Callithrix jacchus: one gene and its partner. The protein of the gene in region 1 purifies or fractionates together with the protein of each later gene. This does not show direct contact. Links are inferred from orthologs where the notes say so. Each region holds a gene or a part of one and is shown on either strand. Other genes may lie near its edges.

The links.
Region 2: the proteins of EIF3G (region 1) and EIF3H purify together in Homo sapiens (affinity purification with mass spectrometry; 8 studies listed by BioGRID and IntAct, counting the BioPlex papers as one, with this or other methods). This does not show direct contact. The link is inferred for Callithrix jacchus from reciprocal best matches to the Homo sapiens genes EIF3G and EIF3H.

The regions. Positions count from the first base shown.
Region 1 is NC_133523.1:9,302,319-9,318,204, reverse strand, and holds EIF3G (eukaryotic translation initiation factor 3 subunit G), read left to right. Parts: upstream 1-7,674; 5' UTR 7,675-7,717; coding exon 7,718-7,737; intron 7,738-7,876; coding exon 7,877-7,923; intron 7,924-8,415; coding exon 8,416-8,499; intron 8,500-8,607; coding exon 8,608-8,696; intron 8,697-8,837; coding exon 8,838-8,897; intron 8,898-10,230; coding exon 10,231-10,335; intron 10,336-10,432; coding exon 10,433-10,622; intron 10,623-11,335; coding exon 11,336-11,443; intron 11,444-11,561; coding exon 11,562-11,698; intron 11,699-11,785; coding exon 11,786-11,892; intron 11,893-11,998; exon of another isoform or gene 11,999-12,263; coding exon 12,264-12,279; 3' UTR 12,280-12,379; downstream 12,380-15,886. Other genes in the region: P2RY11 (P2Y purinoceptor 11), read right to left, coding at 12,629-13,722, 15,329-15,347. UniProt on the Homo sapiens protein: RNA-binding component of the eukaryotic translation initiation factor 3 (eIF-3) complex, which is required for several steps in the initiation of protein synthesis.
Region 2 is NC_133517.1:80,676,404-80,692,167, forward strand, and holds the start of EIF3H (eukaryotic translation initiation factor 3 subunit H), read left to right. Parts: upstream 1-6,917; 5' UTR 6,918-6,943; coding exon 6,944-7,075; intron 7,076-15,764.

The DNA of each region.
Region 1 (15,886 bases):
TCTCCTGCCTCAGCCTCCCCAGTATCTGGGATTGCATTAACTTTACAGGCTTCTGGAAGAATTGACATGCTAATGATGGGCTTTCCTTTCTGAGAACAGGGGTTGTCCTCCTGTTTATTCAGGAATTCCTTTGTGCCCATCACATCTTTTCATCCTGATCTTGCAGACTTCGTAACTCGACTTTTAAATATTTAGTCCTGCCAGGCGCGGTGGCTCAAGCCTGTAATCCCAGCACTTTGGGAGGCTGAGGCAGGTGGATCACGAGGTCAAGAGATCGAGACCATCCTGGTCAACATAGTGAAACCCCATCTCTACTAAAAATACAAAAAATTAGCTGGGTGTGGTGGCACGTGCCTGTAATTCCAGCTACTCAGAAGGCTGAGGCAGGAGAATTGCCTGAACCCAGGAGGCGGAGGTTGCAGTGAGCCGAGATCGCGCCATTGCTCTCCAGCCTGGGTAACAAGAGTGAAACTCCGTCTCAAAAAAATAAATATTAGTCCCTTCATTACTAATATAAATGAGGTGTTTTCTTTATTTCTTTTTTTTTTTTTGAGACAGAGTCTCGTTCTGTTGCCCAGACTGGAGTACAATGGCGTGATCTCAGCGCACTGCAACCTTCGCCTCCTGGGTTCAAGCAATTTTCCTACCTCAGCTTCCTGAGTACTCCTGAGTAGCTGGGACTACAGGCATGCACCACCACACCTGGCTAATTTTTTTTTTTTTTGAGATGGAGTTTCGCTCTTGTTACCCAGGCTGGAGTGCAATGGCGGGATCTCAGCTCACTGCAACCTCCACCTCCTGGGTTCAGGCAATTCTCCTGCCTCAGCCTCCCAGGTAGCTGGGATTACAGGCGCACACCACCATGCCCAGCTAATTTTTGTATTTTTACTAGAGACAGGGTTTCACCGTGTTGACCAGGATGGTCTCAATCTCTTGACCTCGTGATCCACCCGCCTCGGCGTCCCAAAGTGCTGGGATTATAGGCGTGAGCCACCGCTCCTGGCCTTTATTTTCATTTTTAGTAAAGATGAGTTCTTGCTCTGTTGCCCAGGTTGGACTCGAACTCCTGGGCTCCACTGATCTTCCCTCCTCAGCTTCCCAAAGTGCTGGGATTACAGGTGTAAGCCACTGTGCCTGGCTTTTTTTTTTAAATGTATTACTACTTTTTGTAAAGACTGTGTTGCCCAGGCTGGTCTCCAGTAAGTTCAGTTCTTGTAGATATAAAGCAGAAGTGGAAGCGTTGGGTCATTTGGTAGTTGTTTTTAATTTTTTGAGGAAACGCCATATCATAGTTTGTAGTGGAAGGTTGTTTTTTTAAATGAAACGAACATGTAAGGCAAGGCTGAAGCCTGTTTGTGGGCCGCGCAGATACTTCCTACTTCCCTAGAAAACCACAGTAAAGACGTTGCCATGTCTCCTTTCTGCCCGTTTCTTGACTGTTACCACATCTGCATGTCCATCAATTTAGTATTTCCTTTTTATTTTTCCTGTATTTTTTTCCTTATTATTATTATTTTTTTTTTGAGATGGAGTTTCGCTCTTGTTGCCCAAGCTGGAGTGCAATGGCATCATCTTGGCTCACCACAGCCTCCATCTCAAGGTTCAAGCAACTGCCCTGCCTCAGCCTCCCGAGTAGCTGGGATTACAGGCATGCGCCCCATACCCAGCTATTTTTGTATTTTTAGCAGAGACGGAGTTTTTCCGTATTGGTCACGCTGGTCTCAAACTCCTGACCTCAGGTGATCCGCCCACCTCCGCCTTCCAAAGTGCTGGGATTACAGGCGTGAGCCACCGCAACCGGCCTTTTCTTTTTCTTTTTATTATTTATTTTTGAGATGGAGTCTCTGTCTTCCAGGCTGGAGTGCAGTGGCGCAATCTTGGTTCACTGCAACCTCCACCTCTTGAATTCAAGTGATTTTCCTGCCTTAGCCTCCTGAGTAGCTGGGACAGGTGTCCACCACCATTTTCTTCTTTGGAAACAGTTTCGCTCTTGTTGCCCATGCTTGAGCAATGGCTCACTCCTGTAATCCCATCGGGTTGGGAGGCGAAGGTGGGTGGATCACCTGAGGTCAGGAGTTTGAGACCAGCCTGCCCAACATGGTGAAAACCCATCTCTACTAAAAATACAAAATTATCCCTGCATGGTGGCAGGCATCTGTAATCCCAGCTACTTGAGAGGCTGAGGCAGGAGAATTGCTTGAACCGCAGAGGTGGATGTTGCGGTGAGCCAACATCGCGCCATTGCCCTCCAGCCTCAGCAACAAGAGCGAAACTCCATGTCAAAAAAAAAAAAAAAAAAAGTCTCGCTTCATCCCCCTGTCCTGTTTAAGCCCTCCAGTCTGTGGTACTTGGTCATGGCAATGTGAGAGAAAGTAGCAATTGTTAAGCCAGGTTTGTTCGTCTCTGATTTCCCGCATAATTTCACAAAGCCCTTGACTCTGGGACATATCTCTGCAGCTCTCCAGAAAGAGGCTGTGAAGACAAAACAGGATAGAGCACAGGGCACCTGTCTCTTGCCCGAGTCACTGTATTCCTTAAATGAATCTGGGCGGTGGCTCATGCCTGTGATCCCAGAATTTTGGGTGACCAGGGTGAGAGGATTACCTTAGCCTGGAAAGGTTGAGGCTGCAGTGATCTGTGATGGCGCCACTGCACTCCAGCCTGGGTGATAGAGCAAGACCCTGGTCCAGGCCTTTTTCTACATATAAAATAACATCTAATGAGGTTAGGGGATTACGCTTCTGCAGTCTATAACCAGATGTACTCTTGCACCCAAACCTTGATGTGGCCAAGCACGGCGGCTCATGCCTATAAATGCAGCACTCGGCTCACTGCAGTCTCCGCCTCCCGGGCTCCAGCAATTCTCCTGCCTCAGCTTCCTGAGTAGCTGGGATTACAGGCACATGCCACCATGCTCAGCTAATGTTTGTATTTTTACTAAAGGTGGGTTTTCACTGTGTTTGCCAGGCTGTTCTCAAGCTCCTGATTTGAGGTGATCTGCCCACCTTGGCCTCCTGAAGTGCTGGGATTACAGGCATAAGCCACTGTGCCCAGTCTCCTCCTTTTTCAGAGACAAGGTTTTTGCTCTGTCACCAAATCCAGAGTGTAATGGCACAGTAAGAGCTCACTGCAGCCTCAACCTCCTTGGCTCAAACAGTCCTCCCACCTCAGCATCCCAGGTAGCTGGTACTACAGGCATGCAATACTATACCGAGCTATTTTTTTGTATGTAGTGATGGGGTCTCATGACATTGCCCAGTCTGGTCTTGAACTCCTGGGCTCAAGAAACACTCCCGCCTTGGCCTCCCACAAATGCTGAGATTATAGGCATGAGTTGACAGTGCCTGGCCAAGAAATAGATGTTACATCTCACACCTATTACATAAATCCATATTATATATTCATGTCCAAAAATAATCTTTCCTTTCTTGGTGCCTTCTTTCCAAAGCATTCCTCATCAACAAGTTCTTATTCTTTCTTTCCAGGAAATGATTTGCATATTTGCATGTATCTGCATATCTATGTGCTATTACAAATTTACACGAATTGGTTCCTATAATATATGCCATTTTATATGTCACTTCCTCTCTTTTTTTTTGAGATGGAGCCTCTCTCTGTTGCCTCAGGCTGGAGTGCAGTGGCATGATCTTGTCTCACTGTAACCTCCGCCTCCTGGGTTCAAGGGATTCTCCTCCCTCAGCCTCCTGAGTAGCTGGGATTACAGGTGCCTGCCAGCATGCCTAATTTTTTTTTTTTGTATTTTTAGTAAAGACAGGGTCTCACCATGTTGGGCAGGGGCTGGTCTTGAACTCCTGACCTCGTGATCCACCCACCTCAGCATCCCAAAGTGCTGGGATTACAGACGTAAGCCACTGCACCCAGCCTTTGCTTCCTCTTTTTATCTTGATGGTTGTTTTTTGCATGAGCACAAATGGATCTACCTCCTTAAAGATCAAATAGCAATTTATAGATTATGGCATAGCATAACTGCCTCTATTCCTATGGATGGGTGGACAAGTGTTTGCAGTTTTTGTATCATAAACAATACTGCATGGACATTTTACTCTCATGTCTTTGCATACATTTACAAGTTTGTTCACAGCGGGAATTATTAGCTGGTTCAAAGGAAAATTCATACGTACTTTAAAACTTTTTTTGAGATGGAGTCTTGGTCTGTCGCCAGACTGGAGGGCAGTGGCGTGACTCAACTTACCACCTCCGCCTCCTGGGTTCAGGCGGTTCTCCTGCCTCAACCTCCCAACTAGCTGGGACTAGAATCACCCGCCACTACACTCAGCTAATTTTTGTATTTTTAGTAGAGACGGGGTTTCACCATGTTGGCCAGGATTGTCTCGATATCTTGACCTCCCGATCCACTTGCCTCGGCCTCCCAAAGTGCTGGGATTATAGGCATAAGCCACTGTGCCCAGCCCATATGAGCATTTTAAGTTTTAGTAGATGCAGGCCAGGCAAGGTACCATGTGCCTGTAATCCCAGCACTTGGGGAGGCCAAGGCAGGAGAATTGCTTGAGCCCAGGAGTTCAAGACCAGACTGGGCAATGTCATGAGACCACATCACTACAAGAAACATAAAAATTAGCCAGGCATGGTGGCACATGCTTGTAGTCCCAGCTCTGTGGAAGGCTCCTGTAGGAGGATTGCTTGAACCCAAGAGATGGCGGCTACAGTGAGCTATGATTGCACCATTGCACTCCAGCTTGTGCAACAGAGCCAGACCTGTCTCAAAAAAAAAGTAAAAAGTTTTATTAGATGTCAAGATTCCATCCAAAAAACTTACATGATCTCATGCACTAACATTATGTGTGAGCATCTGTTTCCCTATAATGTCTTACATAGGTATTTATTTTTGAGATGAAGTTTTGCTCTTGTTGACCAGGCTGGAGTGCAGTGGTGCAATCTCACCTCACTGCACCTCCAAGGTTCAAGCAATTCTTTTTTTTTTTCTTGAGACAGACTCTGTCTGCCAGTCTGGAGTGCAGTGGCACGATCTCAACTCACTGCAACCTCTGCCTCCCAGGTTCAAGTGATTCTCCTGCCTTAGCCTCCTGAGTAGATGGGACTAGAGGCACGTGCCACCACCCCCTCCCCCCGGCTAATTTTTTGTATTTTTAATAGAGACGGGGTTTCACCATGTTAGCCAGGATAGTCTTGATCTCCTGACCCCTTGATCCACCCGCCTCGGCCTCCCAAAGTGCTGGGATTACAGGAGTGAGCCACTGCGCCTAGCCCATGATCCTTCTGACTCAGCCTCCTGAGCAGCTGGGATTACAGGCACCCGCCACCACGCCCAGCTAATTTTTGTATTTTTAGTAGAGATGGGGTTTCACCATGTTGTCCAAGCTGGTCTCGAACTCCTGACCTCAGGTGATTCAGCAGCCTCGGCCTTCTGAAGTCTTGGGATTACGGGTGTGAGCCACCGTGCCTGTCCTGTTTCCCTATGACATCTTTACTACCACTGGGTGATACTGAATTTTTAAAGCTTTGCCCAATCTGCTAGGTTGTTTGGATTTTTTGTTGTTCAGAGTACGTTTGACTAAGCTTGTACAAATGTTTATCAGCCCTTCAGACCAGCGTCATATTTTCACTGATATAGCCAGGCCACCCTCTTGAAAGGCTGCAGAGGCCTCTCTTTCCTGCTCTCCAGCTACTGTTTTCCCTTCCACTCAGCTCTCTACAGGCTTCTAGAATATTTTTTTTCACAAGAAACACTGGTGATATTCGAAACACTTGAGTGACCTCCTCACTCACACCCCAGAGGATAAAAAGCATAATTTTTTTCCCTGTCTTATTTTTTCTCAAGCCATTCTCCCTAACAAGTTTGTGTGTGTGTGTGTGTGTGTGTGTGTTTGAGACAGGGTCTTGCTCTGTTGCCCAGGCTGAAGTGCAGTGGCATGATCATGGCTCAACCCCTTGGGCTCAAGCTATTCTCCTACCTCAGCCTCCTGAGTAGCTGGGACTGTCACAGGCACATAGAAGTATGACCAGCTAATTCTTAAAAAGTTTTGTTTTAGAGATGGGAAGTCTCACTATGTGTTAGCCAAGCTGGCCTTGAACTCCAGGCTCAAGTGATCCTTCTGCTTCAGCCTCCCGAAGTGCTGGGGTTACATGCACAGGCCACCACACCCAGCTAATTTTTCTATTTTGCCATGTTGCCCAGGCTGGTCTCGAACTCCTGACCTTAAGAGATCTGCCCACTTTGGCCTCTCAAAGTGCTGGGATTACAGCTGTGAGCCACTGAGCCCCACATTGTCAGTTTTTTTTTTTGTTGTTGTTCATTATCAGCCTCCTTAGGAGAAAACCCAAATTATTCTAAAATTGAATTTAAATCAACCAAGTTAGTTTCAGTTTAATTAGTTACTATCTCCCTAAAGGCAGAAACTAAATACTTAGGAATAAGATGGGGCCAGGCGTGGTGGCTCACGCCTGTAATCCAAGCACTTTGGAGGCCAAGTTGGGCGGATCACCTGAGGTTGGGAGTTCACGACCAGCCTGACCAACATGGTGAAACCCCGTCTTGAAAAAAAAAAAAAAAAAAAGAATAAGATGTTGTCTGATAGAGCTGGCTTTGGAAGACCACAATATCTTAGTTTTTTTCCCCCTCGCTGAAAACCAGTTTTTGCTCCTGGGGAGTCATCATGAATCACTCCAGCTGAGGATGGTTGTTCTTAGAGCAAGGAGCTGAGCAATAAGCAAGTAAATGCACAAAATTATACCGGAAAGCCAAGAACACTACAACGAAAAGGAGGAGGAGTGGCTCATCGGGCCCCTTGACATCTGAATCTGTGGGATTGGGAAAGAAGGCAAGGAACAGTTTGCAGAAGGACTGTTTTCCCTGAGCCTCGGCTTTTTGTTTTTGTTTTTGTTTTTTCTTTCTTTTTCTTTTTTAGAGATGGTGGTGGGTGTGTGTCGGGGTGGTGGTGGTGGGGTTCTCACCCTGTTGCCCAGGCTAGCTACTCTCGAACTCCTGGCCTCAAGCAACCCCCATGCCTCAGTCTCAAAGTGCGGGGTTACAGGCGTGTGACACCTCACCCAGTCTCAGCCTCAGTTTCTTGAGCTGTAAAATTGCAATAATATCCTCCTCACCCTGCTTCATATACAATAAGCACTCGATCAGTGAACCTTGTTGTTATTATATCATTTTCTTTAACTTATTTTTCTGAGATGGAGTCTCACTCTGTAGCCCAGACTGGAATGCAGTGACGCGGTCTCGCCTCACTGCGGCCTCTGCCTCCCGGTTTAAGCGATTGTCCCGCCTCAGCCTCCGGAGTAGCTGGGACTACGAGTGCATGCTACCACACCCGGTTAATTTTTGTAGTTTTACTAGAAACGGGGTTTCACCATGTTGGCCAGGATGGTCTCGATCTCCTGACCTCGTGATCTGTCCGTCTCGGCCTCCCAAAGTGCTGGGATTACAGGCTTCAGCCACCGCGCCCGGCTTATTTTGGTTTTTAAAGGGTAGTAGGAGCAGCAGTGAAATCAGCCTCTACGCCCCCACCGCCCTTCCGCGCTCCCTGCTCTGGTACCAGCAGCTCCCAGCAGCATACACAGCCGCGTGCGCCTCCACCTCCGTCCGCAGGTGTCGCTGTGGATGCCGCGGCCGGCCCCACTAGGCGGTGTCCGCGGAACCGGAAGTCTCCTTTTACACCCACTTCCGCTCTCTAGCCCGGGCTTGGGCTGCGTGGAGAGCCCTTTTGCGATGCCTACTGGAGATTTTGAGTGAGTTGGGGATCACGGAAGCGGGTACGGGAGGCGGTTACAGGGCTCTGGGAAGTATTATGGGGCCTGGGTGCGCCGAGGCCGCGGGGGCTTGGCCTGGCTGACTTAATCTTAGCTCCCCACACACTTGTTTCCGCAGTTCGAAGCCCAGCTGGGCCGACCAGGTGGAAGAGGAGGGAGAGGACGGTAAGTGAATCCGTTTGCCCCAGGTCATCGCGGCCAGGCCCGAGCCGGTTCACTGCTGCCTGTTTCCATCTCCCAGACTGGCACCGTGTTCGCCGTCACGGCCAGCCCCTGCCCCGCGCCTTCATCCTTGGGGCTCGCCTGTTGCCAACTCCAGATGTTCCTTGGCAGGTCCCTCTTCCTCCCATGCCATTGCGCTAGCCCTCCCAGCTGTTCCCTTACTCCAGGGAGACAATTGTAATCTCCTGTCTCCTGTTTCTCTCTGGCGCCTGGATGGCTTCATGGCGTGGCCCCCACCTTCCTACGAGGGATTCCCCCATCCTGGCCACTCCGCGTCCCCACAGGGCCATCCCAGTGTACTACCTGGCCAGTCCTCTGCCCTTGGCCTGCCTTTCTCAGCTTTTGCTGTAGGCGTCATCCCAAAGGCCCTTCCATCTCAGCTGGGGAGCTCCTGCCCCTGGAGCTGACCCCTTCTCCCCACGCTGCTTCTCGCAGACAAATGTGTCACCAGCGAGCTCCTCAAAGGGATCCCTCTGGCCACCGGCGACACCAGCCCAGAGCCGGAGCTGCTGCCGGGAGGTGAGTGAGGACTGCCACTCCGTTCCGGGCTGCCTCTCCCTCCAGCCGTGCCGCTCCTGATGCCCGTGACCCAGGGCTCAGTTTCTTGCTCTTTTTCCCCTTCTCCAGCTCCACTGCCGCCTCCCAAGGAGGTCATCAACGGAAACATAAAGACAGTGACGGAGTACAAGATAGATGAGGATGGCAAGAAGTTCAAGGTGAGGGTGGGAGGGGGCAAGGAGTGAGGACCCTTTTCCTTGGGGACCCTGAGACCAGAAGAGGTTGGGGTGTGTTGAGTGGGTTGATAAAGGAGCTCCTTTGGTTCCAGGAGCCTGACCCTTCTCCTCTCCCATCCTCAGATTGTCCGCACCTTCAGGATTGAGACCCGGAAGGCTTCAAAGGCTGTCGCAAGGAGGAAGGTGAGATCCTCCTTCCCCAGGGATAACACAGAGGAATTGGAAAACTGTGTTCCCTGGACCTTTGTTTTTAAGAGATGGGACTTAACTCTGTACCTGTTGTGAGTCTGAACTGAGCCTTGGGTTCTTGTATTCTTATGGGGTCTTGAAAAGTTCAGGGCACAGGAGTTGATGATGATGCACAGTAAAAATGTTCAATGATGGGCAGGGGTGCAGTGAAAGTAGCCATGTGTGGTGGTGTGCACCTATAATCCCAGCTACGGGGCAGGCTAAGGCAGAAGAATTGCTTGAATCTGGGAGACGGAGGTTGCAGTTAGCTGAGGTTGCACCATTGCACTCCAGCCTGGGTGACAGAGTGAGACTGCATCTCACCAAAAAAAAAAAAAAAGTTTGATGATAAATATCGAATGATAGTAATATCAAATAAATTAGATTAAAAATATTGTAAGTTAGATTCTTTTATTTTTTTTTTAAAGACACAGGGTCCAGTCCTGTTGCCCAGTCTTGAGGGCAGTGGCACAGTCAGAGCTTACTGCAGCCTTACACTCCCAGGTTCAAGCCATCCTCCCACCTCACCCTGCTGAGTAGCTGGGGTTACAGGTGTGCACCGCCACACCGGGCTAATTTTAAGTTTTTGTAGAGGTAAGGTTTCTCTATGTTGATCAGGCTGGTCTCCAGTTCCTGGGCTCAAGAGCTTCCACCTTCACCTCGCAAAGTGCTGGGATTACAGGAGGGAGCCCCTGCGACCAGCTGTGGTTAGATTTTTTATTCCTCTTAGCCTGTCAATGGAGGAATGGAGCCAGAAGGTGGTCACAGCAGTTTCTGGAAGAAGTGATATCAATTAATACACTTGGGACAGTTTGCTGTGCGCTTAGTTTGTACCATACCTCATGCCAGCCACCTGGCAGGGTGTTTCTCATTTGATGTCCTTAGAAGCCCAGGGAGGTAGGAAGCTTTTGTGGTTCCTGTTTTACAAGGGAGGAAGCCAAGGCTCAGGCTGGGTAGCTCAAAGGCCTGGAGGTCTGGGTGGAGCCCCTTCACATCCCTGAATATTGAACCCTAGTGGGAGCTTGTCCGCCAACATGAACAGGCCCCAGGCTGTGTAGCTCTCACCTGGGGCCCAATGCTGACAGCTGCCCTGCCTCCTGGAGCTCAGGCCTGGCGGGGACTCAGGCAATAGGAACTGTCAACAGAACTGTTCAGGGAGTGGTTGAGGAGGATGAAAATGAGGTTCAAGGCCCAGACACTCCGGGGAAGGCTGTAGGTCCGGGACACCCCACTGTGGAACCCTGCCTGCCCCTGCCCTCAATTGTCCCCCATTCCTCCCTGAGCCCAGAACTGGAAGAAGTTTGGAAACTCAGAGTTTGACCCCCCAGGGCCCAATGTGGCCACCACCACTGTCAGTGACGATGTCTCTATGACGTTCATCACCAGCAAGGAGGTAAGCAGGGCAACCAGACTGGGCTGGGGTCCTGGGGTGGTGGCAAATGGGGTGCCTCAGCCACCTCTTTGAATTCCCCCAAACCTGCCCCTGCCAGGACCTGAACTGCCAGGAGGAGGAGGACCCCATGAACAAACTCAAGGGGCAGAAGATCGTGTCCTGCCGCATCTGCAAGGGCGACCACTGGACCACTCGCTGCCCGTACAAGGACACGCTGGGGCCCATGCAGAAGGAGCTGGCCGAGCAGTTGGGCCTGTCCACTGGCGAGAAGGAGAAGCTGCCCGGAGGTGCGTGGACAGGGGTGCTGGATGCTGTTGTGGGCTTGGTGTGTGTCGGGGGTCCTTGATCATTGCCTGTTATCTCCTGCATGACAGCACAGTGGGTTTGACAGTGCCTGTCTTTCTTTGAGGTGCCTTTTACCTTCCTAGTTGGCTGCATCTCCTGTAAGGTTGGGAGATAGGTATCTCCTGTTTATATGCGACTTGGCAGCTGTGACTCTGCTGGTGGCCGTGTGACTGTCCTGATGTGAGCTGCTTGAGCTGCTGTCAGTTCCAGAGTGCTGACCCCTCCATCCCCTTGTGTATGTGTGGTGTGTTACATGCCTGTGACTCTACCATCTGAATCCTTCTGTGGGATTAGCTGGTGGTGAGTGGGGATGTGTACTTGTTGCCTGCCATGTGAGGGCAACCTGGGCACTGTCCCGTGTGTCCCATGATGCCATCGCTGTAGATGTGAGGCTGCTCTCCCTGTGACCCCCTGCCCTCTCAGGAGGGGGGTTGGGACTTTTCCTCCCCTGCCTTCACTAGTGTTGCTTGCTGGGAGCTCAAATGGTACCAGCTTTCTGGGTGTGACCTTGGTGTCCCTTTGGCCAACCGGCTGCCTGTGGCTTGGCAGACAGTGCCTGCTCTCGATCAGCACTGGAGCCCCAGCTTCCTGGGGCAGCTCTGTCCCTGTGCCTGTGCCAGGGTGAAGTTGAACTCAGCTGTCTGTTGGTCCGCAGAGCTAGAGCCGGTGCAGGCCACCCAGAACAAGACGGGGAAGTACGTGCCGCCAAGCCTGCGTGACGGGGCCAGCCGCCGAGGAGAGTCCATGCAGCCCAACCGCAGAGGTGAGGGGTGTCCCGACACCGGGCTGGTGAGTGGGCACCTCCGAGAATCCCTCATTATCCCCGAGGTGCACACGAGGGCCAGGCAGGGGACTCCACTCACAGCCACCTCCCCTCACAGCCGATGACAATGCCACCATCCGTGTCACCAACTTGTCAGAGGACACGCGTGAGACCGACCTGCAGGAGCTCTTCCGGCCCTTTGGCTCCATCTCCCGCATCTACCTAGCTAAGGACAAGACCACTGGCCAGTCCAAGGTAGGTGGGCAGGCACGGGGGGCGGCGGGGGGGGCGCTGTGGGGCAGGGCTTTGCCTGATGACCCCACCCACGCCTCCCCTCTGCAGGGCTTTGCCTTCATCAGCTTCCACCGCCGTGAGGATGCTGCACGCGCCATCGCTGGAGTGTCTGGCTTCGGCTATGACCACCTCATCCTCAACGTCGAGTGGGCCAAGTAAGATCCGACCCCTGCTCTGCCCCTGCCCCTGCCCCTGCCCCGGGTCCCTGTCTTGTCCCAGCACCGCCACTGAGCCTGGGGCCAACCAATAGTCCTATAGCAATTTAATAGTCCCCAGGTTGGTTTTGAGGGGACAGTCCTTGTCTTTTTCCAAAACCTGGCAGAGGGGTACTGGGTGGCAGCTCTTGTGCCCCAGGGTCCCTGCCAGACTTTGGGCCAGGCTTTGAGACTGGCCATCTGACTGTGTCCCCTTTGTCCTTGTATTACCCCATCTTTGCTCCCACCCACGAGGTGCCACTTGGGTGTCGGGAGTCTTGGGGTGCCCCCCAAGGTCTCACACCATGCCACCCTCCTCCTGCCTTCCCCAGGCCATCCACTAACTAAGCCAGCTGCCACCGGATGCTCGGCCTAGGACCCTTGGCGACAGAAGGCAGCCTCTGAGAGCATGGGCTCCAAGGGCAATAAAAAGGCTCCTCTCTCTCTACCCCGTCCTGTTTATTCTTGCATCTCCAGTCCTGTGGCAGGGCCAGCCCCTCCCCTTCCCTGGGTGTGGGTTTGGTCCCTGACCCTGCAGAGTCTCCATGGCCAGCGCTCTGAGTGGGAAAGGCGACTGCCGCCTGGGCTGCAGCAGGCCCAATCTGGCTGCAGTCACAGGCATTGCTTTCTGGGGGAAGTGGCACCTTGGAATGACACCTGGAATGTGGCTTCAGCCAGGCCACATCACAGGCTCACCTCATGGGACAGGCTCGGATGGTTCAGGAGTGGCTGTGGCATTCAGGGGCAGGGCTTGGCCGGTGCTCTTGCCATCCTCTGGCCTCCGGCTGTCTCTGTAGCCGGGGCAGTGTTGGCGGCAACAGCCGAGGCTGGGCACCACGGCCATGTAGAGCAGTGGGTGGATGCAGAAGGCCAGGGGCATGAGGCCTCGCATTGCCTGGTAGCCCACGTAGGGCCCCAGCTCCAGGGCCGCCATGGCCTGGCCCACATCCGTAAAATTTGGGCAGTGGCTGTCCCAGCGTCGCCGAGCCTCCACATTGAGCACCCGCATGATGTGGTAGGGTACATAGGAGCTGGTGTAGAGGGCCACGCCACTAGCCACCAGTGCTGCCACGCGCAGCTTCTCGGCCGCGGTCATGCCCGTGCTGCGCAGCACGGCCAGTCCGAGGGCACCATAGGCCGCCAGCGTGAGCAGCAGAGGCAGGACACAGCCCAGCCCTGCCAGCACCAGGCTATATGCTCTGTAGGCTGCCAGCCGGTGGCTGTCTGCTGTCCCCAGACACTTGATGCAGGCCTCGGGCCTGGCCACGCTGCAGGTGCCCACCCCCTGCTGTGGCCTCTTCAGGTGGGAGAAGCTGAGCGTGGGTGCGGCCAGCAGGGCAGCCAGGACCCAGCCTGTGGCACTCAGGGCCCAGGCGTGCTTGGGCCGCAAGTAGCTGCGGGTGAAGAAGGGGTGCACGATGCCCACGTAGCGGTTGAGGCTGATGCAGGTGATGAAGATGACACTGCCCAGCAGGTTGCAGGTGAAGAGGAAGCGTTCCAGACGGCACATGGCCTCCCCGTAGCGCCAGTGCTTGGGGGGATAGAGGTAGGCGGCCAGTGGTGGCAGCGTCAGGGCGCAAAGCAAGTCACTGACTGCCAGCTGGGCCGAGAAGACCACAGCGGGGTGCCATGGGCGCTGCTCAAGGGTGCTGAAGCGGTACAGGGCCAGGCCATTGCTGGCCACGGCCACCAGGAACTCAACCACCAGTATGGGCCACAGGAAGTCCCCCTGGAATGTATTGAGGATGTGGTCAGCAGCCACCAGGAAGTTGACAGGGCAGGCCTTGGCACCTGTGGGCAAAAGGTATCAGCAGCTGAGCACTCACCTCCCATAAGGCAGCTCCTGCTGCCTCCCGAGCCCATGCCCACCATGGCACGGATCCTGACACGAGTCCTTTCCCCTTGGAAGGGGATCAGACTCAGAGCCAGGGTTCTGCACTGGGCCCCAGTGGACCAGCTGGGGCAAGCCAGTGGCCACCCAGCTCCCCCGCCACCCTCATCTCTGGCCCCACTAGAGACCTCCTCCCCGAAGTCCAGCCCTGGCAAGTCCTGCCAGCTTCACTTCAGATCTGTGCTGCCTGACCCGCAGACTCTTCTCCCTGTGGCCACCAGAGGGCACCTGCGAGTGCTGGAGTCCTGTCCCCACCTCTTTTGCTTCCAGCTCACTTAGCTGTGGAGTGGCCGCCAAAGAGCCAGACTCACCCCACAAGATCACATGGGTACACTGCCACTCACCACACTCCCCAATGCCATCCTCTCTGCCCCATGACTCACTCCCTCACACTGGCCCACTCTGGCTTCCCGCCTGCTCCTGCAGGCTTGTGCCTTGGGACCTTCCCATCCAGACTTTTTTTGAGACAGAGTTTCACTCTGACGCCAGGCTGGAGTGCAGTGGTGCTATCTTGGCCCCCTGCAACCTCTGCCTCCCGGGTTCAAGGAATTCTCTTGCCTCAACCTCCCAAGTAGCTGCATCACCGCCCCCCCCCAACCCCCGGCCTGGCTAATTTTTGTATTTTCAGTAGAGATGGGGATTCCCCATGTTGGTCACTCTGACTTCTAAGGATTTTTAGAAGTCCTTTCTGTACTGGCAAAACTTGAGCAGTGCTGGTAATCCCAGCAAGGGGGCACAAAGGTTGCCTCCAAGGGTTTAATGATTTGCTAAATTTGCATTTACCCCACCCACCTCTAGGGTTTTGGAGCTTACTTATCTAGCTCTGGTTTCCTACGCCAAAACCAATGTTTGAACCACTTTGACCTCTGACTTCCTTTTCAGGCTGGTCTCGAACTCATGACCTCAGGTGATCCGCCTCAGCCTCCCAAAGCACTGGGATTACAGGCATGATCCACCATGCTTGGCCACACCCTGACATTCTTGAGGCTCCCTCCCCCACGACTGTGGTCCTGCCTGCAGACACCCCAAAGTGTGCCTGCAGCCTTCCCTGCAGCATTTTCCCCCATATCGTGCTTCCACCTAATGACAGAAAAACCTCCCTCCTCTGGGAGGATGAGGGCTCTGCCTACCCACTACTGGCACCAGTGCCCACCACAGTGCACAGGGCACAGCAGCACAGGGGCGCTCACTCTGGGGACAGGCTCCTCCTGAGGTGCTTATCCACTCCCAACCATAGCCTGCTCAGGGAGGAAGTGCCATCTATACCTCGCTTTTTTCTGGAGACAGGATCTCGCTGTCACTGAGGCTCAAGTGCAATCACAGCTCAGTGCAGGCTTGAACTCCTGGGCTCAAGCGATCCTCCTGCCTCAGCCTCCTGATTAGCAGGGACCACAGGCTCCTGCCACCACAAGCAGCCTCAACCTAGGTTTTACCAATACCCATCCCCCACTGCCCCCACCTTTTAATAATCTGCAGACCCCTGGATAGGCCATCATGCCTTCTCACCTGAGTGGTTGGCTGCCATGCTCCCACGCTGTCTGTGCCGAGCCTGAGCCTGTCTGCAACCCAGTTCCGCTGTGCCTCCTGAGTCTCCTGTGGCCAAGCCCCAGTCCCTCCCCCAGTTCCGGGGCCAGCCAGCAGAGCAGGCGAGAGCATCCTGTTTCCACCCACGTTTCCTTCCTCATTGTGCCACAGCCAGCTGGGGATTCAAGCTCATCTGCTTAAAGCGTGACCTCTGTCTGCTTGCAGGGCTCTTGGTGGCACCGTGGGGAGGGGCTGCCCATGCCCAATGCTGCCACCAATGACACCACCCAACCCCATGCAAGAAGTGGGAGAGGGGAGGGACCCAGCTTCCAAGAGCAAACCAGGTGGAAGGGACTCCCAGGTGTCACCGGCCCAGGCCTCTCTGGGTTGCTTTGTAGGGCTCCAGGATCCCCCATCCCAAAAGCTGACGTGGACCCCTGGCCAGTTCAGTCCTTTATTGGAGTGGAAGGGTTGGGGACACAACTCCTTTATGGCGTCTCTCGGGCCCCAATCTGGGGCATTCAGTCTATCCACTGCTCC
Region 2 (15,764 bases), on another chromosome or scaffold:
GATTTCATTACATTTAAATAACTTGTCACAGTTCAGTGTTTGTCATTTTACCAGTTTGAGTGACGTGTAGAAACTGTACCTCTCTATATGGCCCTTAAACATGTCTATTTAAATGTAATTGCCTTAAATATTTCTTCTGCAGACATTAAGAACCATGCTGGACAATCTCATGATTTTTGCTTTAACCATAAAAAATAATTTAGAAAACTCAAGAGGAGAGGGAAAGACTACTATAATTCTCCGTGTTTTAATTTACTGAGTTCTTTCTTCTTTAAAAATGGTTCAAAGTTTTGTTTGTTTCTTGTTTTTGTCGTCTCCTTTCTTTATAACTTCTTTTAGCCATTTTTTCAGAAGAGGTGTGCTGGTGACACATACTCGCAGTGGTTTTTCATCTGAGAATGTCTTGATTTCCCTTTTATTCTTGGAGGATATTTTTGCTGGATATTTGCTTCTCAATAGACATTTTTTTTTCAGCAGTTGAAAAATGTACAATTTCCTTCTGACCTCTGTGGTTTCTAATAAGAAACTCACTTTAATTCTAATTGTTTTTCCTATGTAAGTAAGGTGTTATTTCTTTCTTCTGCCTTCAAGATTTTTTTGGTTTTCAGAAGTTTGACTTTGATATGTCTTGTTATAAATTTCTTTGGGGGTATCCCTTTTGGACTTTGCTAAGCATCTTGAATTCGTAGGTTATGACTTTTGCCCTATTTGGGGTGTTTTCAGTCATTATTTTTTCAAATACCTTTTTACCCCTGCTCTTTTTTTTTTAGACAGTCTCCCTCTGTTACCAGGCTGGAGTACAGTGGTGAGATCTAGGCTCACTGCAACCTCCGCCTCCCGGGTTCAAGCAATTCTCCTGTCTCAGCCTCCCAAGTACCTGGGACTACAGGCCCATGCCACCACACACAGCTAGTTTTTGTATTTTTAGTAGAGACAAGGTTTCACCATGTTGACCAGGCTGGTCTCCATCTCCTGACCTCATGATCTGCCCGCCTAGGCCTCCCAAAGCACTGGGATTACAGGAGTGAGCCACCACACCCAGCTGTTGATAGGATTGTTTGATTTTTTTTTTTCTTTTTTTAAGACAGGCTCTCACTTGTCACCCAGGCTGGAGTACAGTGTCGCAATCTTGGCTCACTGCAACCTCCACCTCCCAGGCTTAAGCAATCCTCCTACCTCAGCTTCCCTAGTAGCTGGAACCACAGGCACACGCCACCACTACCCAGCTAATGTTTTGTATTTTTGGTAGAGATGTTTTCTCACAGTTGCCCAAGCTGATCTCACACTCTTGAGTTCAAGCAATCCACCCGCCTCAGCCTCCCAAAGTGCTGTGAGCCACCACACCTGGCCTGTTGTTTTTTTTCTTTTAGTTCCACAGTTCTCCAAGGCTCTGTTCATTTTTTGTGCCAGTCTATTTTTTTATTATGATAAGATATATTTAACATTTAATTGTTGTGAAACTAGAGTAAAATTTTAAAAAATCAAAAAAATATATGTAACATAAATGTTAACATTTAAACTCCCACGAATGTTCAATTCAGTGCCATTAAGTACATTTACATTGTTCTTCAACAATATCACTATATCTCCAGAACTTTCCCTCATCCCAAACTGAAACTTGGTACCCATTATATAATAATTCCCTAGTTCTCCACCATCCCAGGTGCTGATAAACACTATTCTACTTTCTTTCTTGATGAATGCTACTGTTCTGGAAATACCATCATTGAAATAATACAATATTTGTTCTATTGTGGCCAGCTTATTTCACTTAGCATAATGTGTTCAGGCTTCATCTATGTTATAGCATGCATTAGAATTTAATTCCTTTCTAAGGCTGAATAATATTCCATCGGATGCTGTATTAGTTTGTTCTCAGGCTGCTGTAAAGAACTCCCTGAGTCTGGGTAATTTATAAAGGAAAGAGGTTTAATTGACTCACAGTTCCACATGGCTAGGGAGACCTCAGGAAACTTACAATCATGGTGGAAGGGGAAGCAAACACATGGTGGCAGGAGAGAGAAGTGTTGAACAAAAGGAGAAAGCCTGTTATAAAACTGTCAGTTCTCATGGCAACTCACTCACTATCATGAGAACAGCATGGGGATAATTGCCCCCTTGATTCAATTACATCCCACTGGGTCCCTCCCATGTTATGGGATTATGGAAACTACAATTCAAGATGAAATTTGGGTGGGGACATAGCCAAACCATATTGTATGTATATTCCACATTTTGTTTATCCATTCATCAGCTAATGGGCATTTGAATTGTTTCCATTTTTTGGCTATTGTGAGTAGTGAGGTTATAAATGTCAATGTACAAATATCTGTTTGCATTTCCACTTTGAATTCTTTTGGATATATACCTTAAAGGGCAATTGCTGGATCATTTGGTAATGCTATGTTTAATTTTTGAGGCACTGACATATTGTTTTCCACAATGGTACATCATTTCATATGCTGTTAAGCTGCTGTACAGACTAGGTCATTTCTATCAGTCTATCTCTGTTTTACCGACCTCTTTCTTTTTTCCTTTTGATTCTGCTGTTTAGCCCCTTCATTGAGTTTTTAATTTTGGTTATTGTACTTTTTAGGTTCTAAATTTCCATTTGTTCTTTTTGTTTTTTCTTTCCTTTCCAACTTTTATTTTAGGTTTAAAGCGTACATGCACAGGTTTGTTACATGGGAAAATTACAAATAATTTTGACATCCAGGTAATTATTTTAATACTTGATAGGTAGTTTTTCAATCTTCACTCTCCTCCCATCCTCCACCCTCAAATAGGCCCCAGTATCCATTATTCCTTTTTTTGTCATGTGTACTCAGTGTTTAGCTCCCAGTTATAAGTAAGAACATGTGGTATTTGGTTTTCTGTTTCTATGTCAATTCACTTAGGAAACATCCTCCAACTCACCCATGTTGCTGCAAAGGCCATGGTCTCATTTTTTGTATAGCTTCACAGTATTGCACACTGTATATGTACTACATTTCTTTATCCAATCCACCACTGATGGTCATCTAGGTTGATTCCAGGTCCTTGCTATTGTGAATAATGCTGTGATGAACATATATGTGCATGTGTCTTTACAGTAGAATGATTTATATTCCTTTGAACATATATACAGTAGTAAGATTGCTGGGTCAGGACTGGCCTGGTGGCTCACACCTGTAATCCCAGCACTTTGGGAAGCTGAGGTGGGTAGATCACGAGGTCAAGAGATCGAAACCATCCTGGCCAAGATGGTAAAACCCCATCTCTACTTAAACTATAAAAATTAGCTGCGTGTGGTGGTGCACACCTCTAGTCCCAGCTACTCAGGAGGCTGAGACAGGAGAATCACTTGAACCCAGGAGGTGGAGGTTGCAGCAAGCTGAGATCGTGTCACTATACTCCAGCCTGGTGACAGAGCAAGACTCTGTCTCAAAAAAAAAAAAAAAATGCTGGGTCAAATGATACTTCTATTTTAAGTTCTTTGAGAAATCTCCAGACTGCTTTCCATAGCAGCTAAACTAATTTACATTCCAACCAGTGGTGTACAAGCTTTCCTATTTCTCTGAAACCTCACCAACGTTATTTTTTTACTTTTTAATTATAGCCATTCTGACTGCTGTGAAATGTTTTTATAGCCATTCTGACTGGTGTGAGATGACTGGTGGATTGTGCCAGTTCCAAGCTCACCTTTCTATACAATGATTTGCATTTAGTAATATTGAACATTTTTTCATATGCTTGTTGGTGATGTGTGTATCTTCTTTCGCTAAGTGTTTATGTCCTTTGCTGGTCCTTATTTATATCTCATATATCTTCGATAAGTTGAATTTGTTTTTTGAAAATTTATTTGTTTCAAGTGTGTTTGTAATTGTTTATTGAAACATTTAATGAGGGCTGCTTTAAAATCTGTCAGCTAATTCTAACTTCTCTGTCATTTCAGTGGCATATATTGATTATCTTGTTTCATCTAGTTTGAGATCATCTAGTCCATGTATGCTTCGGTTCTTGGCGAGATGAATGATTTTTAATTGAAACATAGACATTTGGGTATTTTATTTTTTACTGAACTCTGGACCTTATTGGGACCTTCTGTTTTTGCTGGCTTCCTCTGACACCGTTCTGGCAATACAAGGGCAGGGAATTAGGTCCTTCTTGTTACTTCCTAGAGAGGTTACAGTAACACTGGGCCTCCATTGCCTCACTTGGGAGGTGGTTCTCTGTTGCTAGTAGAGGGATGGGAGTTCCAGATCCTGCTAGACCTTCACTGATACCTCCTTGATGAAAGGGCTAGGAGAGCCTCATTACTGCTCTCTGTGTTGCCCCCACTGACAAATGGGTGACCTCATTACTACTTGGCTGTGATGAAATTCTGGTTAGGCTTCCTCTAACATCACACCTTCGGGGAATAGCATAGGTGCCTCATTACAGTCTGGTAAGGGTGAAACTCCAAGCTCCCCTGACAGTGTGCAGAGAAGAGGATTTTGTTGGAGGTTTCAAGTTTTTTTTTTTGGTCTGCCTGTTGTTGTTTTCAGTCACTGAATGTTAACTCCGGGTCTGGGATATACGTGACAAATAGAAACCTTGGGAAATCACCACCTTGTTGTACTTTGGGTCCTGAGGTCCCTAGCCGGTCTTCTTTCTTCTCCACATTTTTTTTCAGTCTCCTTATGTTTCTTTTATATATAATGTCCAGGCATTTAGTTGTACTAACTAGGCAGAATTGGCAAAAATATATCTACTTCATCTTTCCAGAAATAGAAGTCTGAATTCTGAAAACATTTTGAAGATGGAGTCTATAGGATTTTCTGATGGATCAGAGATAGGGCATGAAAGAAACAGAGTAGTAAAAGATGACAGAAAACGTTTTTGGCCTTATCAACTAGAAGAATGAAGCTGTCATCAAATGAGATAGGGAAGACTATGGGAAGAACATTTTTGGGGATGAGGGTGGTGGTATCTGCAGCTCGATTCTGGAAAGATTGAGAGGTGCCTATTGGAAATTTAGATGGAGATGTTGACTAGGTAGATGAGCATGCTAGTGTGTTCAGTGGAGAGGTCTGGAGAATATAAATCTGGGAATCAGACTATATGTGATTTTTACAGTCCTGAGAATGGATGAGATCACCATAAAAGAGAGCAAAATTAGGGGAAAGAAGATTGTTTAAGGTCTAAATTTTGCTACTCTTCAATATTTAAAGGTGGAAAGGGGTAGAAAAATCAGCAATGGCAACTGAGAATAAAAGAGGTAGCCAGTGAGATGGAAATGAAAGCAGGAATCCAAGAGAAGGAAATGTCATTACTTCTGGGCCCTTTCTAGTCCAGGTGATCATATTGATTATATTGATTTCTTAATTCAAATTCTACTTCATATACTCTGTCTCTCTCTGTCTCTCTCTCTCTGTTCTATCTCTTACATGTAGTCTATTTCATAAAGGGGGCTCACATGAACTGTCTCAGGACAGATGAAAATACCCCATTTTAGTGTGTTTAGCACACATGGCTGGAAAACCTTAGTTGGATATTTTCAAGGACACAAAATTTGCAAAGAAATTTTAAACTTTAGTTTGTAGTTTTATTGTTATGAGGATATTGGTTTTATAATTTTGAAACAAAACTGGGTTATGTATGTTGTAGGATAAAGTAATAAATAAATGTATTATTGTTTATAAGCAGTCTGGCTGTTTTCTGATGCTCATCATTCCAGCTGCCTAGTGGTAGGCAAAAACCTCCAGTCTAGTTCTTTTTTTTTTCACCTGGGTGCAGGTGGGCTAAGGTCGAAAAGGGTGTTAGCCTCCAGTCTAGTTCTTCCATGAGAAATTTTCTTTTTTTTTTTTTTCTTTTTGTGACCTTTCTATTACCAATTTCTAGTGTAATTCTACCAGGATTAACCTTCAACACCTCTAAATTTGTGGACTGTCTCTGTGACCTAGGATGTGGTCTATTTTGATAAATATTTCATATATACTTAAAATGAATGGATATTAACTTTCCATTTTGTGGTGTTGAGAATTTGTAACATATAACTATTTCTTCTCCCAGACTGAAATATAACACCAGATCCCAACGATAAAAACAACAAAACACTTCAAGGCAGGATATGCCGTTTATTGATTTAACTATTTGCCAGTTCTGTGTATATCTTGATTGAATTAATAAGCATTTAAAAAATAAGGGATAGGAAAGAAGTCATTAGGAAGTAGAAAAGAATGTTTTAAATTGCTTATCTAAAAAGGCTCTTACAGTTGGCACATATTCTTTTAAAGACTTGAGATGTGTATTTCAGAATAATGTGTCATAAATCAGCGTGATTTTTAGAAAATGTTCTGTATCAACCTTCAACAATACCTAAAATAACTTCTTTGATACTTATGTAAATATCTACATGAAACTAATAGCAAAAGGCTACTATTTCTGGTAATTCTGGAAAAAGTTTCCATATCTTAATTAATTTCTGTATAATCTAAGTGTTTATACAGGTAGCTATCTAAAATTACGTAAAACAAGCTATGCAATATTGGCTCACCGCTAACAGAATAGTGTCGGGTAAACCACTTCTCAATTTTCTAATATGCACAATGCGAGCTAGTACAGCACTTCATTGCAAAATCAGAAATGAAAGCGTTTTTACGAAAGACACGCTACAAAAATAATGCGAACTGTAACGCTATTATGACCGTTCGCCTAATGGTGAATGATTAAACATTTAAAAACTTTACTTTCATCTTAGATCACTCCATTGGAGAGAGGCAGAAAATGTACGGTAGGCACGCACAAAGGCTACCACCTGGAAAGACGATAAAACTAGAAGAGAGGAGGGAGGCGGGGCCCAATTTTGGCTTCTCCTTCCAGCTCCGCCCGTCGAACGCTAGTCTGCCAGTGACGTCACGCGAGACTTGTACTTCCGCTTCCGGTAACTCATGTTTCTCTTTCTTCCTGTCTGCCTAGAAAGATGGCGTCCCGCAAGGAAGGTACCGGCTCTTCTGCCACCTCTTCCAGTTCCACCGCCGGCGCAGCAGGGAAAGGCAAAGGCAAAGGCGGCTCTGGAGATTCAGCCGTGAAGCAAGTGCAGATAGATGGCCTTGTGAGTGCTGTTTGGTATTCTCTGGCCCACGTGGGGAGCGCAGTTCCCAGCCCCGTCCCGCCCCGCCAGCCGTACTTTCCAGCATTCTGCCCCCGGACTTGGTGTGGCTGGGCCAAAGTTTTTCCCTAGTACCTTTCTCTTTCATCTTCACTTTTTTTCAGAAGACGCGACAACCTTCTCTTATCTTCTATCGGGACAGTTGTGGCTTCAGGAAGGGGGACTGAGAATAGGGTGTGAGTGACAAGTTCCTGGGGTCTTGTTTTGAGTTGCCTGGAGTGGGGATTAGGAGAAAGACTCCTGGAGACAAGCAGCTAACGAAGGTGTCGAGAAGGATTTAGGGACTTAGCAGGGCTCTGGGAAGGAAAGAGTAAGGAAACTCCACTGCTTCCCTGCTGGGATCTGACATCTATAACTTCCCAAATGGAGATGTACTTTGTAGCCACTCTCTTGAGCCTGTACTTCGGCGCTTTAAATGAAACCGCATAATTAGAATGGACTCTTTTGTAGTGTTTATTCAGAAAAACATAAAGTAATATCAAAGAGAAGGACCTAAAATGTATTTAGTAGTTAAGGTTCGTGAACTAGGACATCTAAGGAAATTCTTGATAAGGGAATGGACTTAGCTGGGAAAAGGATAACCTAGAATGAGAAATTTTATTTCTGTTGTTTCGAAGCAAAATACATTTGTATGACATTCTCGTTTTAAAAACATCTTTCCTGCCTCTCTTTTTAAAAAGCATCTTCTCTCTCTTTGATTTTTTTAAAGGTTATTTCCCATTAATGCAGATCTTAGATACTTGCAATAAGGAAGTATTTTAAAATTCATGTGAATATTTTAATTGCACCGTGCTATTTTTAAGTGGAAACTATTCATAATTTAAATCCAGCATATAATTGAATCTGTTGAACTGACTTAGTTAAACTGGATACAAAAGTGTAGCCTAGTGGTTAGGAGCTCATTTAGTCTTCTAGGGTCTTCCACTTAACCAGCTCTGTGACCTTGGGCAAGTTAACCTTTCCAAGCTTTGCTTTTCTCATCTGTCAAGTGGGAATGAGAAGGGTTTATGTCATAGAGTTGTTTGGGTTAAATAAAAAATTTATGTGGTGACCTCTAGCACAGAGTAATCAATGTTACGATTATTAAGAGTTTAACGTCTATGGTTAGCAGAGCTTGAAAGATGCAGGTGAGAGATTAACTTTGGAATGTTTTGCTCTAAGTGTCACTTGTGTAATACGTTGAAAATGCAGTACTATCTGGTCTGTGTACTGGCACTCTGGCTTTCCCTGGCTCATGGGAAGCAGATGTTTGTTCAGGAACAAATGATGTGTCTTTAGAGATTACAAATCTCTAAAGCTGGTGGGTGGACTTAGATTACACTTGTTAAAATAAGTACCACTTACACACTTGGGAAATGTTTATTCCTTAGGAGCACATTTCTTATTAAATTTGTTATGTCACAACAGCACTCTTTGAGTCACTTAGTTTTCAGAGTTGAAAAAGGCAAAAGGTCGGTGGCATTAAATCTATTTGGAGGTCATTTATTCAGTAAATATTTTAGGACATTCTTCTAAGTGCCAAATATTGTCTAACAGGGCAGTGATAAAAGCACATCAGTAACAATTTCCTGGCAACTTTAAGAGGGATTGTTAAAAAGAGACCTGCAGGTGGAGATGGACTGGATCACTTCAAGTTTCACAAGTAGACAGTGGGCTTAGGAAGGTCAAGAGAGTGGTTCTCAATTTCGTGGATTCACAAATTACTGTTTTTTTTATCAGCTCTCTCACAATTGATTAATGCCAAGGAACCCGTTAATCCTGCTCACAGGGGATTGGTTTGTACATGTGAATGTTGATTTACTCATTTACTGTGGAAGATAAACCTTTACAGTGGTGAAAATGCTTATATGTACCACCAAAAGGACCATTTCTGATTACCGAAGCACCTTTGAAATCGGCTAAAAAATCAAGTGACTGGGTGCAGTGGCTCATGCCTGTAATCCCAGCATTTTGGGAGGCCGAGGTGGGCGGATCACGAGATCAAGAGATTGAGACCATTCTGGCCAACATGTTGAAACCCTGTCTCTACTAAAAATACAAAAATTAACTAGGTGTGGTGGCACATGCCTGTAGTCCCAGCTAATTGGGAGGCTGAGGCAGGAGAATTTCTTGAACCCAGGAGGCGGAGGTTGCAGTGAGCCAAGATTGCACCATTGCTCAAAAACAAAAAAAAGATCAAAAGCTTATCAGTGACTCCAAAGTCAATCATGATAAGAGCAGGTAAAGGATTATTTTACTTGAGAATTATTTATATGCAGATTCTTGATGAACTTAGTGAAAGATCTCTTATTGCAGAGTTGCAGTAGTGGGTAACTCTGCTTTTTTTCTCCACCGGTTAGGTAGATATTAGCAAAATAAATTCCTAACAACTTTTCCTCTCTTTGGACATCTGCCTTTCTGTCATTTATATAATTTTAGGCAGCTAGATTATGATGCAGTTGCAGGGTTCCTTTATCTTTTTTGCTCATATTTTAATTGTGAATGGTTTCCAATTATCATAAATCCAGTAGGGAACATTTAAGTAGTATGTTCTTTATGCCATATACTGGGTTAGATACAGTGAATACTGGTTACTCTAAATTTTATTAATGGATGTTTTGTACATGGAGTCATGTACATACTGTCTCTACGTGGAAGGCATAAAGGTGTATTCACCTTTGCCCAAATACAGTTTTAAAAAACTTCCTTAAACTCTGCTCTCCCTTTCTTTCTTTCTTTTTTCTGTCTTGGTTAACAGTGTTACTTTTCGAAAAGCAATGTTACATATTAGCTGAGAGAATCCTGAAGACAGGTTTGGATTCAGATCCTTATTCCAGCAGTAAGCATGACGTTTTGCAAGTTATTAAATTTTCTAGGTCTCAGGTTTATCCTTTGTAAAATGGGGATGATGATAAAGTACTCCCTAATAAGGGTTTTGAGAATGAAATTCTGAGGTATGCAAAGTGTTTAATAGTACCTTTGTCGTTATAAACACTCAGATTACTGTCAGTGGCTTTGCCACTCTCATCCTTATTAATGTTTCTTGAGTTATTCCGAATGCTACCTTTGTTACTGTAGATTGAAATTGTAGAAAGAGCACTGAAGTGATAATCAGGAAACATGCATTCCAGTCTGCATCCACCAGTAGCTTACAACACTTCTCTGATTGTTTTATTCAGAAGGTACATTTTCTTATCCACAAAATGATTGCCAGTATCCCTATCAATTTTAATAGTGTATCTTTTCTTTCTTTTGCTTTCATATCTTAATGCTGAGGATTCTTACCAGCGTGTGACCCCAGTCAATCACTATCCTTCCTTTTAGGCCACTTAATCCTCATCTTTTATATTAGTGTCTCTTCTCCATCTGTGCATGTTGGAGTGCCTCATGGTTTAGGTTTTGGCTTTTCTTTTAGTCTCTGCTTGACATAGGTAGCGTAATGAAGTTGATAGAAGTGTGTGCTCTGGAGCCAGACTGCTTGGGTTTGAATCCCAGTTCTGAAATTTGCTGAATGACATTGGGCAAGTCTTTGTGCCTCGTTTTCCTCATCTGAATTGTTTTGGACTGAATATATGTCAATAACTACAGCAATGTCTGGGACAGAGTAAGTCACCACTTAAGCTTAGCTGCTGCAGTTATTTGCAGTAATTATAGTAGTATTCTTCAAGGTATTCTTATCCCTGCTCGTGGCTTTAAATATTACTTATTTCTAATAAGTCATAGATTTATATTTTTGTCAGTAATGGCTCTTAAATGCCCATTGCCTATTTGACATCACTATTTGGATGACTCATAGGCAGCTCATATTTAACATGTCCAAAATAGAATCATAGACTTGTTCTTCTCCTTACTTTCTATCACAGCACCCTATATTTCTTTCTGGAATTTCCCACAGCCTGTAACTATCTTGTTTTCTTTCTTCTCCATCAGAATATATGCTACTGAGGGCAGAGACTGTGCTTTGTCACCAATGTTGTATCTCCAGTACTGAACCTGTTAATTGACAGAGTTGGATAAATGAATGAGTATGAATTCCGTTTTATTTATTTATTTATTTAATTTTTTGAGATGGAGTTTCGCTCTTGTTACCCAGGCTAGATTGCAATGGCGCGATCTCGGCTCACGGCAACCTCCGCCTCCTGGGTTCAGGCAATTCTCCTGTCTCAGCCTCCTGAGTAGCTGGGATTACAGGCATGCACCACTATGCCTAGCTGATTTTTTGTATTTTTAGTAGAGGCGGGGTTTCACCATGTTGACCAGGATGGTCTCGATCTCTTGACCTCGTGATCCACCCGCCTCGGCCTCCCAAAGTGCTGGGATTATAGACTTGAGCCACCGCGCCTGGCCCCGTTTTATTATTTATAATACTCCCAGTTTATGTTCTCATATCTTATATAGGTTATTTTAATATTGTTTTCCCCTGCCCTCTTCAGTCTAACATTCATACTTTAAAATATTCATTTAATGTGAACATTTAGATTTGATCTTCTTTTCTTAGATGTTTTCAGTGACTTTCCATTGACTTTAAGGCCCACCAAAATGTTCTTACTTCTTGTATCTGTGTTCAGGTTTATTTCCTTTCTTTCCAAGCTTTGTGGGAACTCTATGTTCCAGACACTCAGACTACTTGGTTTTTCCTTTAATAAGTCATGCTAAAGACAGACCTAGATTCACATCCTTATTCAAGCAGTAAGCATGACCTTGCTTTTGTTCATGAAGTTCTTTCTCTCTGAAATTCCTCTTTCATCATCACATACTGAATAAACAATGTTACCTAATAGACTTATGCTGTTTTTAAAAAAATTCTCCATCTAGTTTAACTTGAATCTGTATACTCCAGTTGTAATCTTTTCTTGATTCATTTAACAAATATTTATTGATTGCCAACCATATGCCAGATCTAACCCTGCTAGATACTTCGGTATGTTGGTGAGCAAGGAAGAAAAAAGTCCCGACCCTTGTGACCATTCTCAGCCATATGTAGATGTAGGAGGTGAACCTGGAGATTTATCTCATCCTATGTTCAGCCTGATGTTTAATCACATTTGTTCCTTCCTGGCACACTGATAGTGGCCAAGACCAATTTTTCTTGTATTCTTGAACCCTTCCTTTTCTGCCTTTAGACCTATTTTATCAATTCCTCTGTATCGGTAATATAGCAGTCCCTCAGCATCCACAGGGAATTGATTCTAGGACCACTGCATATACAAAATTCGAGTATACTCAAGTCCTACAGTTGGTCCTATGGAACCCTGCGGAACCCACCTATAGGCAAAGTTGGCCTTTCCTATATGCAAGGTTCACATCCTTAAACCTGTGCAATTCAGGCTCATGTTGTTTAAGGGTCAGCTGGATGCTCCATTAGCACATACACTCATCAGGACTTTCCCATATTAAAATTTTAAGCACTGTCTCTTTTAGCTCCCCATGTTCCACTTCTTTGCCCTGGCTTTTTTTCCTCTTTGTTATGGTTAAAGAACCATTTTGTATTTGTGGTTTTCATACTTGAACATTATTCCTGTTAGAATTTGCCACCACAAACTCCCTGAATTATTATGACTTTTTAAAGACCATTGATAACATTAGCAAAGAACTGTAAAATATATCACAATGTCATTCACAGAAGTTAGCGTCTAAACGTTCAGTTATTCACTGTTCAACTTGTGAAATAGAACATTACAAGTATCTTTGAAGCCCTTTTGTCTTTTTCATCCCTTCCTCCAGGCCCTTCTCCCACTATGTGAGTCACTATTGGAGAGTTTTATTTTAATGATTCTTTTTTTTTTAAACTATCTCCAGTAATGGGTATAAGCAAATTTTTTTTTTTTTTAAAGATGGGGTTTTACCATGTTGACCAGGCTGGTCTTGAACTCCTGACCTCAGGTGATCTACCCACCTCGGCCTCCCAAAGTGCTAGGATTACAGGCATGAGCCACCGAGCCTGGCTTTTTTTTTTTTTTTTTAGCAAATTTTAATGTTTCTTTTGTGGCTTTACCACATGGACTATTAAACAGTTTGATTACTTTCACTTGTCTATATGAATAAATATGAATTAAATCATAGTTTATATTCTCCTGTGTCTTGAGTCTTGATATGTCTGTCTCACACTATGATTGGTGGGACTTGAGGATACTCATGGACCGTTATGGACCGTTATACTAAGAATCATAATGTCAAATTACTTTCCTAAGTATTTGTACCATTTCACATTTGTCCTAGCAGTTTATGAGAAGTCCCATTGCTTCACATCTCTTCTACCTTTGGTATGGCTAGAAACCCATTTTTGTCAGTCCAGTAAGTTGAAATGCTCTCTGTCAATAATCTTTTAATTGTCCATTCCAGTAGGCCTGTCAGTGTAGCTCTTCCTGTGTCCTCTGCAAGAGTCGGTGCTCGGTACTTCCTTGTGAAATGGAAGAATGGGGCTTCATTCTGTCAGGTGGTCTCCTTGTTCCCAGATAAGATTAAGCTAATTCTTCCTGTTAAACTTTTCTTGTTGAATTCACTTTGTTCCCTAGAACATTTGACTTTTACCTTCCTTATATTTATTAGACTCTTGCTATTCAAAGTATGATCCGTGACCAGAAGATGAGCAAAGTTGTTACACTTTAATTTGTTAGAAATGGAGACATAAAGTATCATAGAATCTCAGGCCCTCTCCTGATCTACCAAATCGGGTGATTTATAGCATATTAATGTTTGAGAAGAAGCATTGCTCTTCCTTTCTCTGAACTTTTTAATGACAGCTTGTATCACTCATCTTGGTATGTGATCCGTACTGTTAATGATTTACTGTTAATATTGTTTTCCCCTTCTCATTGATAGGATCACCTTTTTGAAGGCTAAAGTGTAAAACAGTCTCCTCCACAATTCAGTGCTTGAAAGCCATTGCTGTTGAAATTTCTTAACCTTTTAAATTTTGTTTTCCCCTTTATGTAAGTTATTTTATTAAGTACCTTATTCTCTTAGTTTTGTTAAGTAAGGTAGAGTATGTCATTAATAAATGGAAAAGTGTGAGTTACATATACAGTGAGCGCTCCGTATCTGTGGGTTCCGAATCCAGCAATCTCACACCCATGGGTTCAACCAACCATGGATCGAAAATACTAGGAAAAAATAAAAAATACAAATAAAAACCTATACAGTATAATAATTATTTACATAGCATTTACACTGTATTAAGTCTTATATGTTATCTAGGGATAATATATAGGAAGATGTGCCTAGGTTATATGCAATTACTAATACTACACCATTATATATAAAAGACTTGAACATATATGAATTTTGGTATCCAGTTTGGTCCTTGTTACTGTTTGAAGCTCTTTTTACTTGTTGCTTATTTCTTCACACTAGAATATCAGCTTCTTGAGAGTGGCATCCATGCCAGGTTTGTTCACTGAAGTGTTTCCAAGTGTCTAGAACCGTACCTTTGTATAGAAGGCATTCAGATGTTGTGAATGAATGAATATACTCCTGTTGTGTGGAAATTTTCTTGAAAATCAATCATGAAGAAACTGGGTTGGTAAATGCTTTGTAGAAATTAATAGAGTGTTGGTGAGAAAAGAAAAGAGCACACAGTTGAGGATAAATCAGTTAGCTTTCTGAGCTTGTTCATATTTCTCCATCTTTTTACTTGCCAATTTCTTATCTGTTAGGAAAATCACTAATTTAATTGAGCACCTATAAGACCCTGTACAGGGATGTTTGGTTAGATTTTATCTGATCCTCTCAACAGCTTTGGGAATAAATGTTATTTCTACCTTACTTACCTGATGGTTATTCAAATCTAATGGCAACATTTTGGTGGAAGTGCTTTTTTTTTTTGGAGATGGAGTTTTGTTCTTGTTGCTGAGGCGGGAGTGTAATGGAGGGATATTGGCTCACTGCAACCTCTGCCTCCTTGGTTCAAGTGATTCTCCTGCCTCAGCCTCCCAAGTAGCTGGGATTACAGGCATGTGCCACCATGCCTGGCGAATTTTTGTATTTTTAGTAGAGATGGGATTTTGGCATGTTGGTCAGGCTTGTCTCGGACTCCTGACCTCAGGTGATTGACTCGCCTCAGGCTCCCAAAGTGTTGGGATTACAGGCATGAGCCACTGTGCGCGGCCATAAGAAGTGCTTTGTGAACTGAATCAAGTAATTCAGATTTGTAATGCCTGGCTGTCACATGTGTCACTGTAGACTTTTTATGATACTTTTATTATGTTAAAGAGAGTAGACCACAGCTTGTTAAATTTTGTTGAAATGGAGGCTTTTGCCTGAGATTTTGGGCTGAAGTAGAATATAGTTAGTCTGGCTTGTTAATGTTTTAACAACAAAAAAATTATATGACTCGAGGTGTCTTCTTTCAGTTTTCTGGCTGCAGTGGTGAATACATAAGTTGTTTCATGTGTGAGACTTTTTTAGTCAGATAATTTGAAATCCTTTCAAGGACCAAAACTTGCACATTTTAGCTATTTTAATTATACATCTTTCTGAAGTGTATTACATAATTTTCTGCCGCTTTAGTCAGAATATTTACTACAATCTAATCGTGTTTTGATGACATGGTATTATCATTAAGAACATGTTATTGGGTCAAATGCAGTGGTTCACACCTGTAATCTCAGCACTTTGGAAGGCTGATACGGGTGGATTACCTTAGGTCAGGAGT